3 linked regions of the Coturnix japonica genome follow. The protein of the gene in region 1 purifies or fractionates together with the protein of each later gene. This does not show direct contact. Links are inferred from orthologs where the notes say so. Each region holds a gene or a part of one and is shown in the gene's direction. Other genes may lie near its edges. The genes, in order: PFDN4, PFDN1 and PDRG1.

Region 1 (3,732 bases):
GCCTAAGAAAGACATGGATCTATTGGAGTGGGTCAAGAGGAGGCCATGAGGATGCTGAGAGGGTTGGAGAACCAATCCCATGAAGATAGGTTGGGAGAGTTCAGGGGGAGGATCCCAAGAGACTTTCCAGTGGCCTTCCAGTACCTAGAAGGGCCTCCAGGAAAGATGAGAAAATATTCTTTGTAATACATCTTAAGCTGTTCATGGTTAATATATGAGGAGGGAGGTAGAAGATATGGATGCCATCAGGCAGTGAAGTGTATGTTAGTCTCCCTTATCAGGTCCTAAGAACAGGACTGTTGCATACAATCAGACTATTTAAAGCATCACCTCGGAGAGACAGCTTACATAGATTTTGCCTTCAGAAAATGTTTTTTATCATTGTTTTGGCTGCCTGGGACTGAATGTGCTCACCTCACTCATCTCACTCACAGCACCAGCTGGTTTTCTTTGTTATCTCCCCACACGTCACTCATAGACCCACAGACCCTAATGCAGATTTCAGAGTTCCTTGTATAAGTCAGCACACCTTTCACTCCCCATACCCAGCTTTGGCTCCCCATACCCAGCAACTTTCTCTGGATCTGACTCTAATCACTTTCAATTGCGCATAACAGAAAGATGAATCACAGGAAAAACACCTGAAAATACGTTCAGACACCTTCCATTACAGGATTGTTTGATTGTTTCCTTCCACACCTGACAACACTACATGGCACCAGTATCTGTCTTTGCCGGGTGTGTATGTTTCTGATACTGATCATTTTGCATTATGATGCTGGCAGAGCAAAGCCGGGCTCAGCACGGAGCCCTCGGGATCCTCATCAGAGCCACCCAGCCGCTGTTTTAGTATCACGGGGTGCACCAACCAACCCAGCACAAAACGCTGACAGGGATCCCATCATTTCTGAGCTGTGTGGGTAAGAGCCTCCCATTTATTCCCCCGTGCAGATGATGCCTCGCACCCCCAGCTGCCTGCGGCTCCCAGCTCTCTCCCCCGCAGTTGTGAAACGAGATGATGATCCGATTTTTCACCGCCGTTTTGTTTTGTGGACGTGAGAGGAGTTAAATAAACCAAAGCATGTGGATGCAATGACACGGTGTGAGTGCCAGCTTCTGTTTATGGACCAGCAACCCGGGCAGTTCAGTGGCGCCCCCTGGTGGCAGCATCACTCCTGCAGGCGGAGCGGCGTGTCCCCTCCTCGAGGTGGGATGTACCAATCGCTGATGTAACGGGGGGGATAATGATGTCGGCGCGGCTCGCTCCGGGCAGATGGGCTCCTTATGGGTGGTTATGGAGGATGAACGGACGCCTCGAGCTGTCTCAAGCCGCCTCGTGTGGCCATTGCCTCGCGCTGTCATCGTTTTTCTTCTCATTCTCCAAGTGGGTTTCCTCCTCTGAAGGGAAGGCGAATAGTTCGGCCCTGCCAACATGGCCGCCACCATGAAGAAAGCGGTGAGTGTTGGCTGCGGGCTCTCCCAGCCCTGTCCTGCTCTCCATGTCGCTTTGTCTCTCTCTGTCCCCGGTTCCCCTTCCTGGGCCGGGTCCCCTCAGCTCCCAGCCCGGCCCTTGTGAGACCTCGGGCTGCTCTGCCCGTTCCCTGCGGCCCTGTAAGGAGTATGGCATGTGGGCAGGTTGTTGTAGGGGTTATTTTGTGTTGTGGGGAGCATCTCGTGGTAAGGTTGGATTGGAACCTGATGAAGAGGCCGAGCCTTCGTGTTGACCTCTGATATTTGCAGGCTGCCGAAGATGTCAACGTTACTTTTGAGGATCAGCAGAAAATTAACAAGTTTGCGAGAAATACCAGCAGGATCACGGAGCTGAAAGAAGAAATAGAGGTGAAAAAGGTACACCTGCTTTACGTTTGGTTTGTTGAGTTAATTTCTGGTTGTAGCATAGAAAATAGTGGCCGTAACTAAGTAAAAGAAAGCCTTTATGGCAGCAAATCAGGCAGCAGTGGAATATGCCTCCTGTATTTCCTTAGTTTAGGTGGTTAATTATGCTGTTAATGAGACATAGTAAGTGTTGAGTAATTATTGGTACAATTCCACTGAATTTAAGATGCCCCAGATGTGAAGTTGGATATTCAGCTGATCCTGTGACATTGCGTTCACTGAAGTCACTCATACAGTACAAGTTTTATCACCTTTCTTACATCTTGACAGAAACAGCTTCAGAATCTGGAAGATGCCTGTGATGACATCATGATGCTTGACGATGATTCACTTTTCGTACCCTACCAAATTGGAGATGTCTTCATTAGCCATTCCCAAGAGGAGACACAAGAGATGCTGGAGGAGGCAAAGGTTTGTCAGAGCTAAAGGGAGCTCCTTTACTTCACAGTTTACTATTGGAGTACAAAGTTCTGTCCTACACAAGGATTTATAGACTAAATATAAATGAGAATCTTCTTTGATGCATCCTATGTGCGTACTCTCATCATTCACCTATATAGGTTCTCTAATGCAATACATTCATGTTTGGTTTATGATTTTGGGGAGGGAAATGTGTGCAAATGTAAGCTCATGGAGTTGTCATTAGACAAAGTATTGATGGGTTTCAGTTGGCTCCCTGAACGTGTTACAGCACACCTTGACTAGAAGTTGTCAAGGAGGTGCCTTTTAATCATTGAAGTGTTGCTGCCAAACATGGCTCAGTTTGCTGTACGTAACCAGCTGATTTCTTTCTTTTTCAGAGAAGTTTACAAGAAGAAATTGACACATTAGAATCCCGAGTGGAATCAATTCAAAGAGTGCTGTCTGACCTGAAAGTTCAGCTCTATGCCAAGTTTGGAAATAACATAAATCTCGAGGCTGAGGACAGTTAAAAGTTCTCTAAAACACGACGTGTCTTTTCCTTGTTTATTAATTGTTTGATACTTATCAAAAAATTCCAAAAAATGTTTAAAAAAAAGAAAAAGTGACCTATTTTTTTCTTTTATTTTTTCTACTTTCCTGTCTCGGGTTCCATCTATTTAATGAGAGCTCTCATATTTTGGTTTTTGCAGTTATTTATTTGCTCAGGAAAGCAGTAGCTTCATACTGTTGGTAAAGCACCAAGGTTGGCATGTTTGCATTGTTTGCTAAAGTAATAAAGTCAGGCATATATTATAGTTTCCTTGGTCTTGTTTTCATCTCTTGTAAATACTTAAAATCTGTTGTATAAAAGCAACAGAAGTGGGGAACTGTTTTTTTTCTTCTTTTTACACTGTATTGATGGACAGGTGACATTTAGGGCACGGTCTTGCATTGAGCTGTGAGATTGTAAATCAGAATGATGAGTCCTTAACCTCTTTAATTTTCCTCAAGGTTCATTTTCTAAATCCATCTTTACATATTTAAAAAAAATAAAGTCTTTTTAGTTTAGGCTGAGTTTGACCTGTAATAAGAAGCATCCAGCAGATGGCAGCAGAGAACTGGGGGAGCTGCTTCATGGTAAACTTGTGTCTGGGCTCTGCTGGCCAGAACAGATTGTGTTGAAATGGAAACTGTGACTGCTGTGATTATTCTCATTAATTGATTGATAACACTTTAATTCCTAAGGGACTGCTGTGCCAGCTCTTCTGTTCCAAGCATAGTTATGGCTGCGTACCCTGCAATTTTCAGGATGGATATGGCTTCTTTAAAGAAAAGGGGGGGGGGGGAAAGCAGTTAGCATTTGTTTCAATGTGATGTGAATGGCAGCTGTAAAGCAGGTGAGGACCTTGTTCACTATATGACCCAAAGGGAGAA
Region 2 (4,208 bases), on another chromosome or scaffold:
GTAACTCAAGATGACCCTTGTGTGGGTCAGACCTCCTTTATTTTTTAAGTGCAATGTAATATTCTAATAAATAACTTTGTAACAAACACGTGAGTTGTTGATTTAAGAGATGTGGGTCAGGTCTCCAAAGGGTACAGATAACAACTTGCCCTTTATGGTGGGGTACTAAAACTACCCAGGAGCATCTGTGGAGCAGCGGCACAGATCTCAAGCCTGCTGGCCTTGGGGTGCAGCAGGGATAATCCTGCTGGGGTACTCCCTGGAGGGGGGAGGGTTATGGGGAGCTGGGGTGTGGTCTGCCCTGCTCCTTGCCCTGGAACCTGCAGCTGTGGCAGCCCCGCGTGTTCTTGTATCTCGGCTGGCTCATGAATGGCTGCAATGCTTGGGTGAAGCAAAGCCACCTTGAGTTCAGCCACTGCAATCTAAATCCAGTGCCCAGCAGGGGCCTGGAGCAAGGCACTGAGCCCTGCCACCCAGCCTGCCTCCCTCGAGTGCTCCATCCCACTGCTGACACTCCTTGTGCCCCAGCACTGAGCCCTGCAACCTGCAGCACACCTCCTCCTCCACGAACACCGGCTGTTCTCCAGAGCAAGGCTCGTAGGCAGGCAGAATCTTTGGATTTAATTTAAAACCAAATCCAAACCAACACAGTGTGTTACAGCAGCCTGTTTGATAACCAAGTGTTGGTGCAGTGCAGTGCCACCATTGCTCACCTCACAGCCATGATCTGCATGGAGCAGAAGAGCTGCAGCACTGCAGGAGCGGAGCTCGGCCTGCGCTTCTGAGGGAGGCAGCCAAGGAGAAACCCCAAAGCTGCAGTGCTGCCTCCCTTTGGGAACAGCCACAGCCCCGCGGGTGGTTCCATTCCCCCCAGAGGAGCATTGGTGGGATGCTGTGAGGGCTGAGCACCTCCCCGATGAAGGCAGGCTGAGGGAGCCAGGCTTGTTCAGCCTAGAGAAGAGAAGGCTGTGGGGTGACATCATTGCAGCCTTCCAGCATTTAAAAGGGGATAATAAACAGGAGAGGAATCAGTTTTTTACTGGTGTGGACAGTGATAGGACAAGGGGGAAAGGTTTTAAGCCCAAGGAGGGAAGGTTTAGGCTGGATGTTGGGGGAAGTTCTACACATAGAGCGGGGAGGTGCTGGCACAGGCTGCACGGAGGGGCTGTGGATGCCCCATCCCTGGCTGTGTTCAAGGCCGGGCTGGATGGAGCCCTGTGCCATGTATCAGATATGGAGGTCGGTGGGCTGGAACCTGCTGCTCCTCGGCCCCCTCCCACCCCACCCCGCTCTAACCTCCATTCGGCCGCAGCCCGCTCCGCCCCGCCCTCCCACCGCCCCCACTGCGCAGGCGCCGAGCGTGGGGAAGATGGCGGCGCCCGTTGACTTGGAGCTGAAGAAGGTAACGGGTGTCCGGCTCCGTCCGACGTGTTTCTCGGGCCGCTGCTCCCCCTCCTCCCCCTCCTCCCCCTCCTCTCCCCGCAGTTTGGGCCGGCTCGGCCCGGCCGGGCGCCCCCCGCCCCTCTGCCCCCGGCCCGGCCGCAGCCGCTCGACGTGCCGCTCTGCCACCACAGGCCTTCACGGAGCTGCAGGCCAAGGTGATCGACACGCAGCAGAAGGTGAAGCTCGCCGACATCCAGATCGAGCAGCTCAGCAAGAGCAAGAAGCACGCGCACCTCACCGACACCGAGATCATGACGCTGGTGGACGAGACGCGCATGTACGAGGGCGTGGGCAGGATGTGAGTAGCGGCCGCACCGTCCCTGCAGAAGCAGGGATGCTGGGCTCCACGAGGAGCATCGGGGGAGCATCAGTGTGCACCCGGAGTATCGGTGTGCACCCGGAGTATCGGTGTGCACCCGGAGCATCAGTGTGCACCCGGAGCATCGGTGTGCACCCGGAGCATCGGTGTGCACCCGGAGCATCGGTGTGCACCCGGAGCATCGGTGTGCACCCGGAGCATCGGTGTGCACCCGGAGTATCGGTGTGCACCCGGAGTATCGGTGTGCACCCGGAGCATCAGTGTGCACCCGGAGTATCGGTGTGCACCCGGAGCATCGGTGTGCACCCGGAGTATCGGTGTGCACCCGGAGTATCGGTGTGCACCCGGAGCATCGGTGTGCACCCGGGCACGGTGCCCTGGGCAGCACCAGCGAGTGTGTGTCGGGCTGGTGGTGTCCACGTGCCTCAGCATTTGGAAGTGAGCACGAGGCTGATGCGCACTCGAGGAGCCGCCTGCCCGCGCTGGGTGGTGTCTCACACCTCACACCTGCAGTGATGCACCTGGGTTATTCTGGCAGCGCAGCTCTGACTGCAGCAGCCTCATGAAGTGCAACACACAAACTGGGTTCCAGTCTGACGTGTGTGCTGACTCACTGTGCCGTGCTAACTTTCTGTGTGTGCTTTTTCTCTTCCATTGTGAACTGGGCAACAGTGATGATTACGCTTATTCAGGGATGATGTTTTATAGAAGGTTGAATCTGATTTGATTGCTGCCCACAGGGCGATTGCATCTCCCCGCTCCCAACTCTCCTTTGTGCTGCAGCAGACTTGTAGCTGGTTCAGCCTGCTGTTGCGGTGAGTTCCTGGGCCTGATTCATGTCATCACACAATCTGTTGGGTGAGTCTTAGGGAGCTGCGGGCTGGGAAGCCAGGACTGGTATGTGGACTGCGCTTCACTGGTAGTTGTCAGGTAAGACCAATGGGAAAATGAAGCTGTGCCTGGGTTCATCCTGGGCAGCCTGATCTAGTATTTGGCAGCCCTGCCTGCCGCAGAGGGTTGAAGCTCAGTGGTCTCTAGGTCCTTCCCAACTGAAGCTCAGTGGTCTCTAGGTCCTTCCCAACTGAAGCTCAGTGGTCTCTAGGTCCTTTCCAACTGAAGCTACTCTGTGATTTTGATGGGGGGGTGTGTAGCGTGACAGCCTTCTTTGGACCACTGTGGAATTACTCCTGTTAAGTTTTCCAAGCAGATGAACTTGGGTTTGTGTGGAGCTGCTGATGATGTTGAAAGGAGATAGAATTTGCAGATCTCTTGCAGGAGATAGCTGATATGACCCAGGCAGGCTGTAGGCTCATTGTTTTTGTCACAGAAAAGACAAACTAAGAGATTCTGGAAGCAACAATTTTTCTTCAAATTTTTTTTTATTTTTTTATCTTTAATCTTAAAGCAGGGTATACTTCTCCATTATGAAATAATTCCTCAAGATTCTTTGAAAGCATCAATATATCAGCCTTCATTGTAAAATGTTGGTTGTGAATGAGATAATGTTTCTGTGCTAACTGAAAAGTACTGTCCTGCTTTCAACCCAGCTGCTGGAGTCCAGTCTTTTTGAGACTGTACTCTTGCTTACCTTCATGTGACCGGGCAGGTGGTTCAGACTCTGCTGTGCAGCACTTTGCTCCTCAGTGATGGTAGAAAAATACTATCTGCATGATATTAGTCTTCAAATGTTTGAAGTGTGAACTCTTTGCGGGTTCTGTTGTCCTAGTCACTATGCAAATTCAGGTTAAGAGTGCTCATGCTCTCCAAACTACTTATTCACTGATTTATTTTACTTTTATTTCCCCTTCCTTAGCTTACTGCAGTGTTTCTGTGAGTTATGCCTGATTTGGCCATGGGGCTTAAGTCTGCCTTTCAAATTAGTAGTTCTATTTGGGTAGAACGAGCTATTCCAGGACTTTGTGAAAACGGAGTGTTTCAGGAATGTGATGGTGTGCTGTATCCTGGGAAGAAGTCTACCTAGTTCCATACTTCTGCGCTACTTGTAAAGAATTATGTGGTTCCTGCTCTGAGCCCAGAGCCTGCTTCCTGCCCAAGAGGCTTTCCCTGAGCCACTGGCAAATGTGAAAGCCCATTTGTTGTTCCTAAACATTTACTGTAGCTAATTTTGGTTTAACACAACCATTGTCAGTGCCACATAGTATGAGGTGATGAATTGCTGTGTACTGTACATATCTGTTTGACTAGGATATCATCTGAGTAGTGGCACCGTGCCAAATACATTTTCATTCTCTTACTTCATGCTCTTTGAAAGGCTTGTTATCTAGCCTGAGACAACTACCACTGTGGTGGACTCCTGCTTAAGCTATTTGTGAACTGATATCATCGTGCTGCTTTGAGAACTATGCCGAAAGCTTAAGCTTCAGAATTTTGTCTGAATGCTTCCGACCTTTCCCTTCACATTCCATTAAATAATGACCTGGGCCAG
Region 3 (3,380 bases), about 2.1 Mb from region 1:
CTTCCTGTGCAGCTGTCAGCAGGCAGGCAGGGAGGGTTCTGAGCTGCATAAATGAAAGTGATTCAAGGAAGAAAGAAAAAGGAACGTGCTGAAACCCAGACCTTCCCTTTACGCCACAAAATACAGACAGATGCAAACCATCCCATAGCAGCGAGTGGATGACCACATGCTCTGTCTGCACAGACAGGTTCCCAGGAGGGCACATAAACATGCAATCAATCTGAACGAGCCTCCAGCCTTCAGGCTGAGTCCAGCTTCCAGGCAAGCAGCTTTCCTACGGCGCCGGGTCCAGGAGAAGGAAGGCTGTGATGATTTGCATCTGGCTCAGGGCCTGCTGTGGGAGAGGCCTGCAGAGCATGGCACCAGCAGCCATCGTTGCCTTGGGAATGTTTTCCAGGTGCCCAAAGCTTTGTGATGCCTCCTGCCACAGCTCAGCTGCAGCTCTCATGCAACCCTCTGTGTGGCCACGGTAAACCCACAGCCTTTATTTTGCTGTGAGCTGCTGAGTAGCACTGCCTGCTTCAGGGGTGGACATCAGGCTTCTCTCTGCTACTGCTATCACGTAGAATGTGATGGCTCGAGGTGGAAGGGACCTCAAGGATCATCGAGCTCCAAGTCCCCGCTAGGACGGGGTTGGATGCAGACGGGCAGTGCTCATTTCCACCACTTCACTGGGCACCTTCTTCTTTCAGCACACTCTGCCACAGACCGAGATCTCTCCCGTTAACTGTCACAAACGACTTTACGAGATTAAGGCCGGTAATCTTCCGATCTGCTTAATCTTCCTCTGGGGATTATTTGCGCACCAAGAGCTTCGCTCCTGGCAGCCACAGAACCACAGAACACCCCAGGATGGAAGCAATGACTGAACCCAACCCTCAGCTCCACCAGGGGAGCCCTGAAATCTCACCCCGTGTTTCAGAGCCGCCCCACAGCACTGCCCGGCCGATTCACATACAGAACCACAGAATGAGCCGGGTTGGAAGGGACCTCAAGGATCATGTAGTTCCAACCCCCCTGCCTGGCAGGGCCACCAAACATACACCTTTACTACATCAGGTTGCCCATGGCCCCGTCCAACCTGGCCTTGAACACCTCCAAGGACGGGGCATCCACAACCTCCCTGGGCAGCCTGTTCCAGGCCCTAACCACTCTCCTAGTGAAGAACTTCCCCCTAACATCCAACCTAAATCTTCCCTCTTTTAACTCAAAACCATTTCCCCGTGTCCTGCTATTGTCAGCAATTGACACTGCAATTCCCGCAGTGTCCACACGGGGGCGCTCTACGCGGAACTCCGGATCGCGGCCGCTGCTGCCGCCCGGCGGGGAGCGGGGATGGGACGGGGCGGAGCGGCCCGACATGGCGCGGGACCCAGCGTTTGTGCTGCGCTACCTGGCCGAGGTGGAGGAGCTGGCCGAGGACGTGCTGGCCGCACGGCAGCAGGTGAGACCCGACCCGGTTCGGCCCGACAACCCCCGACCCCCCCCTTTATCCCCATCCCCTCCCGTCTCTTTGCAGATCGTCGATCTGGACGTGAAGCGGAACCGGAACCGCGAGGCGCTGCGGGCGCTGCTTAAAGACCCGGAGCCGGACGGTGAGTCCCGGAGCTCGGCCGGGATCGGGGCGGTGTGTGCGGGGCACAGCGCTGAGCACGGCTGGTCCTCACTGCAGGGAAAGCCATGGTGTGCTTCGGGAGCACCTTCATCGAGCTGCACAAGGCCAAGGCCAAGGAGATGCTGCAGAGCGGTACGGAGGGATCTGCTCACCCCGAGGAGCTCGGAGCTAAAACAGAGCAATGCTGCCATCCTGCCCTGCTCACACAGCCCGGCAGGGTCTCTGTTGGTCCCTTGTTCAACCCCAGTCCCCATGTCATGGGTTAACCCCCCTTATTCTTGCCCTGCTATTTTCAGATCAGGAACAGCTGGATGAGGAGATAAACAACCTCCGGAAAGAGCTGCGTGTGAAGGTCAACCGTCTCTTTGAAGCTCAAGGTAAAACACTCCTGGTCTTGAACCCCAACAGCAAAGGTCTGGCTGCAGATGCTGGGGAGAAGTCAATGTGTGAGTGCTGCCGGGGCTGCTCCTCCTCTCACTCTGTCATTCCCTCCCTACCCTGGTAAAGCTGTCAGCCAGCAGCGTGCTGGATACACACAGCAACGACCAGGGTGGATAGTAGGAACAATTGGTTCTCCATCACCATCCCTGCAGGCATCCCAGCACCGCAGGGATGTGGCACTGAGGGATGTGGGCAGGGTTGGGTTTCATGATCTCAGGGCTCTTTTCCAACCTTCACGATGCTGAGAGCCATCATTGCTGCGTGGTTTCACATGGAATGCTTCATGTGTCTTATAGCAAAACCCCAACGTTCTGCACATCCCTACAGGTAAACCTGAGCTGAAGGGATTTAACCTGAACCCCATGAGTGCAGAGGAAATGAAACTGATCAATCGCATCCTGGAAGGTTGAGACAGCCCTGCCACCACCACAACCGTGTGCAAGCACTGCTCAGCCTGCGGTGGTCGGGTATCACTCACAGCATTTGCACTGCATCAGACACAGCCTGTAGGATTTCCAGCTCTCCTGCATTGCTGGAGCCTCTCCTAAAGAACCTGGTGGGCACAGGGAAGGATACAGCTCCTCAGCTGTAATTCTGGCTGTAAACTCTCCCCACTCCTTGCTGCCGGTGGCAGAGCAGTGCTGAGGCAACTGCTGGAACAGTGGCTTATTCACAGCCTCTGACAAACACCCGCCTGCAAGGGGGATTATTAAAACCAGCACTGTGGGGCATTCCTAACTCTGTGTGTGTGTGTTTGTTGTTGGGTTTGTTATGTGAGAGCTTCTGTAGTTTGGCTGCAGAGCGAGTTCACTGCAGTGTCAGGAACAGAAGTAGGAGGAATTGTAAATGTACAGCGTGCCCAGAGTATAGAAGAGCTGTGTGTGCCTGTGGTATTAAAATGAAATGAAACCCGTGCATCTGAAACACGTCAGGAATCTCCTGAGAGATGCGTAGGGAGGAACAGAAGGCAGCAGCGTGTTTGTCTCAATGGGAAAACACAGGCTGCTGTCAAGGTGGGAGCCAAGAGAATACAGAAAAATAAGGCTCTCAAAACAGGATGAAAGAATAAAATGGACACATATTAGCAAAAACTGCAGCTTGAACAGGCTGGATTTGGCCTGTAGCAATGGGATAACTGATTTAAGTCATAATAGTTTTGGCAGAGGTCATAAAATCAGCTCTGGCTCTCCAGGTAGCTCATCTGCTCTCCACTTCAGGCTTAAGTTAGAGATGCACAGACTGAAAGTAATGTTAACTTAGTATCTGAGGCACCTTACATCTGTTCTGGAAGTGAATGGCAGTACAGTGCCAAGCACCCGTGTTA

What was found.
Region 2: the proteins of PFDN4 (region 1) and PFDN1 purify together in Homo sapiens (affinity purification with mass spectrometry; 5 studies listed by BioGRID and IntAct, counting the BioPlex papers as one, with this or other methods). This does not show direct contact. The link is inferred for Coturnix japonica from reciprocal best matches to the Homo sapiens genes PFDN4 and PFDN1.
Region 3: the proteins of PFDN4 (region 1) and PDRG1 purify together in Homo sapiens (co-immunoprecipitation; 3 studies listed by BioGRID and IntAct, counting the BioPlex papers as one, with this or other methods). This does not show direct contact. The link is inferred for Coturnix japonica from reciprocal best matches to the Homo sapiens genes PFDN4 and PDRG1.

Annotation. Positions count from the first base shown.
Region 1 is NC_029535.1:11,098,405-11,102,136, reverse strand, and holds PFDN4 (prefoldin subunit 4), read left to right. Parts: upstream 1-1,319; 5' UTR 1,320-1,432; coding exon 1,433-1,456; intron 1,457-1,740; coding exon 1,741-1,848; intron 1,849-2,166; coding exon 2,167-2,307; intron 2,308-2,696; coding exon 2,697-2,828; 3' UTR 2,829-3,113; downstream 3,114-3,732. UniProt on the Homo sapiens protein: Binds specifically to cytosolic chaperonin (c-CPN) and transfers target proteins to it. Binds to nascent polypeptide chain and promotes folding in an environment in which there are many competing pathways for nonnative proteins.
Region 2 is NC_029528.1:15,558,019-15,562,226, reverse strand, and holds the start of PFDN1 (prefoldin subunit 1), read left to right. Parts: upstream 1-1,277; 5' UTR 1,278-1,369; coding exon 1,370-1,402; intron 1,403-1,574; coding exon 1,575-1,741; intron 1,742-2,502; coding exon 2,503-2,577; intron 2,578-2,698; exon of another isoform or gene 2,699-2,832; intron 2,833-2,864; exon of another isoform or gene 2,865-4,208. UniProt on the Homo sapiens protein: Binds specifically to cytosolic chaperonin (c-CPN) and transfers target proteins to it. Binds to nascent polypeptide chain and promotes folding in an environment in which there are many competing pathways for nonnative proteins.
Region 3 is NC_029535.1:8,958,228-8,961,607, forward strand, and holds PDRG1 (p53 and DNA damage-regulated protein 1), read left to right. Parts: upstream 1-1,286; 5' UTR 1,287-1,360; coding exon 1,361-1,444; intron 1,445-1,519; coding exon 1,520-1,595; intron 1,596-1,672; coding exon 1,673-1,747; intron 1,748-1,911; coding exon 1,912-1,992; intron 1,993-2,383; coding exon 2,384-2,466; 3' UTR 2,467-2,794; downstream 2,795-3,380. UniProt on the Homo sapiens protein: May play a role in chaperone-mediated protein folding.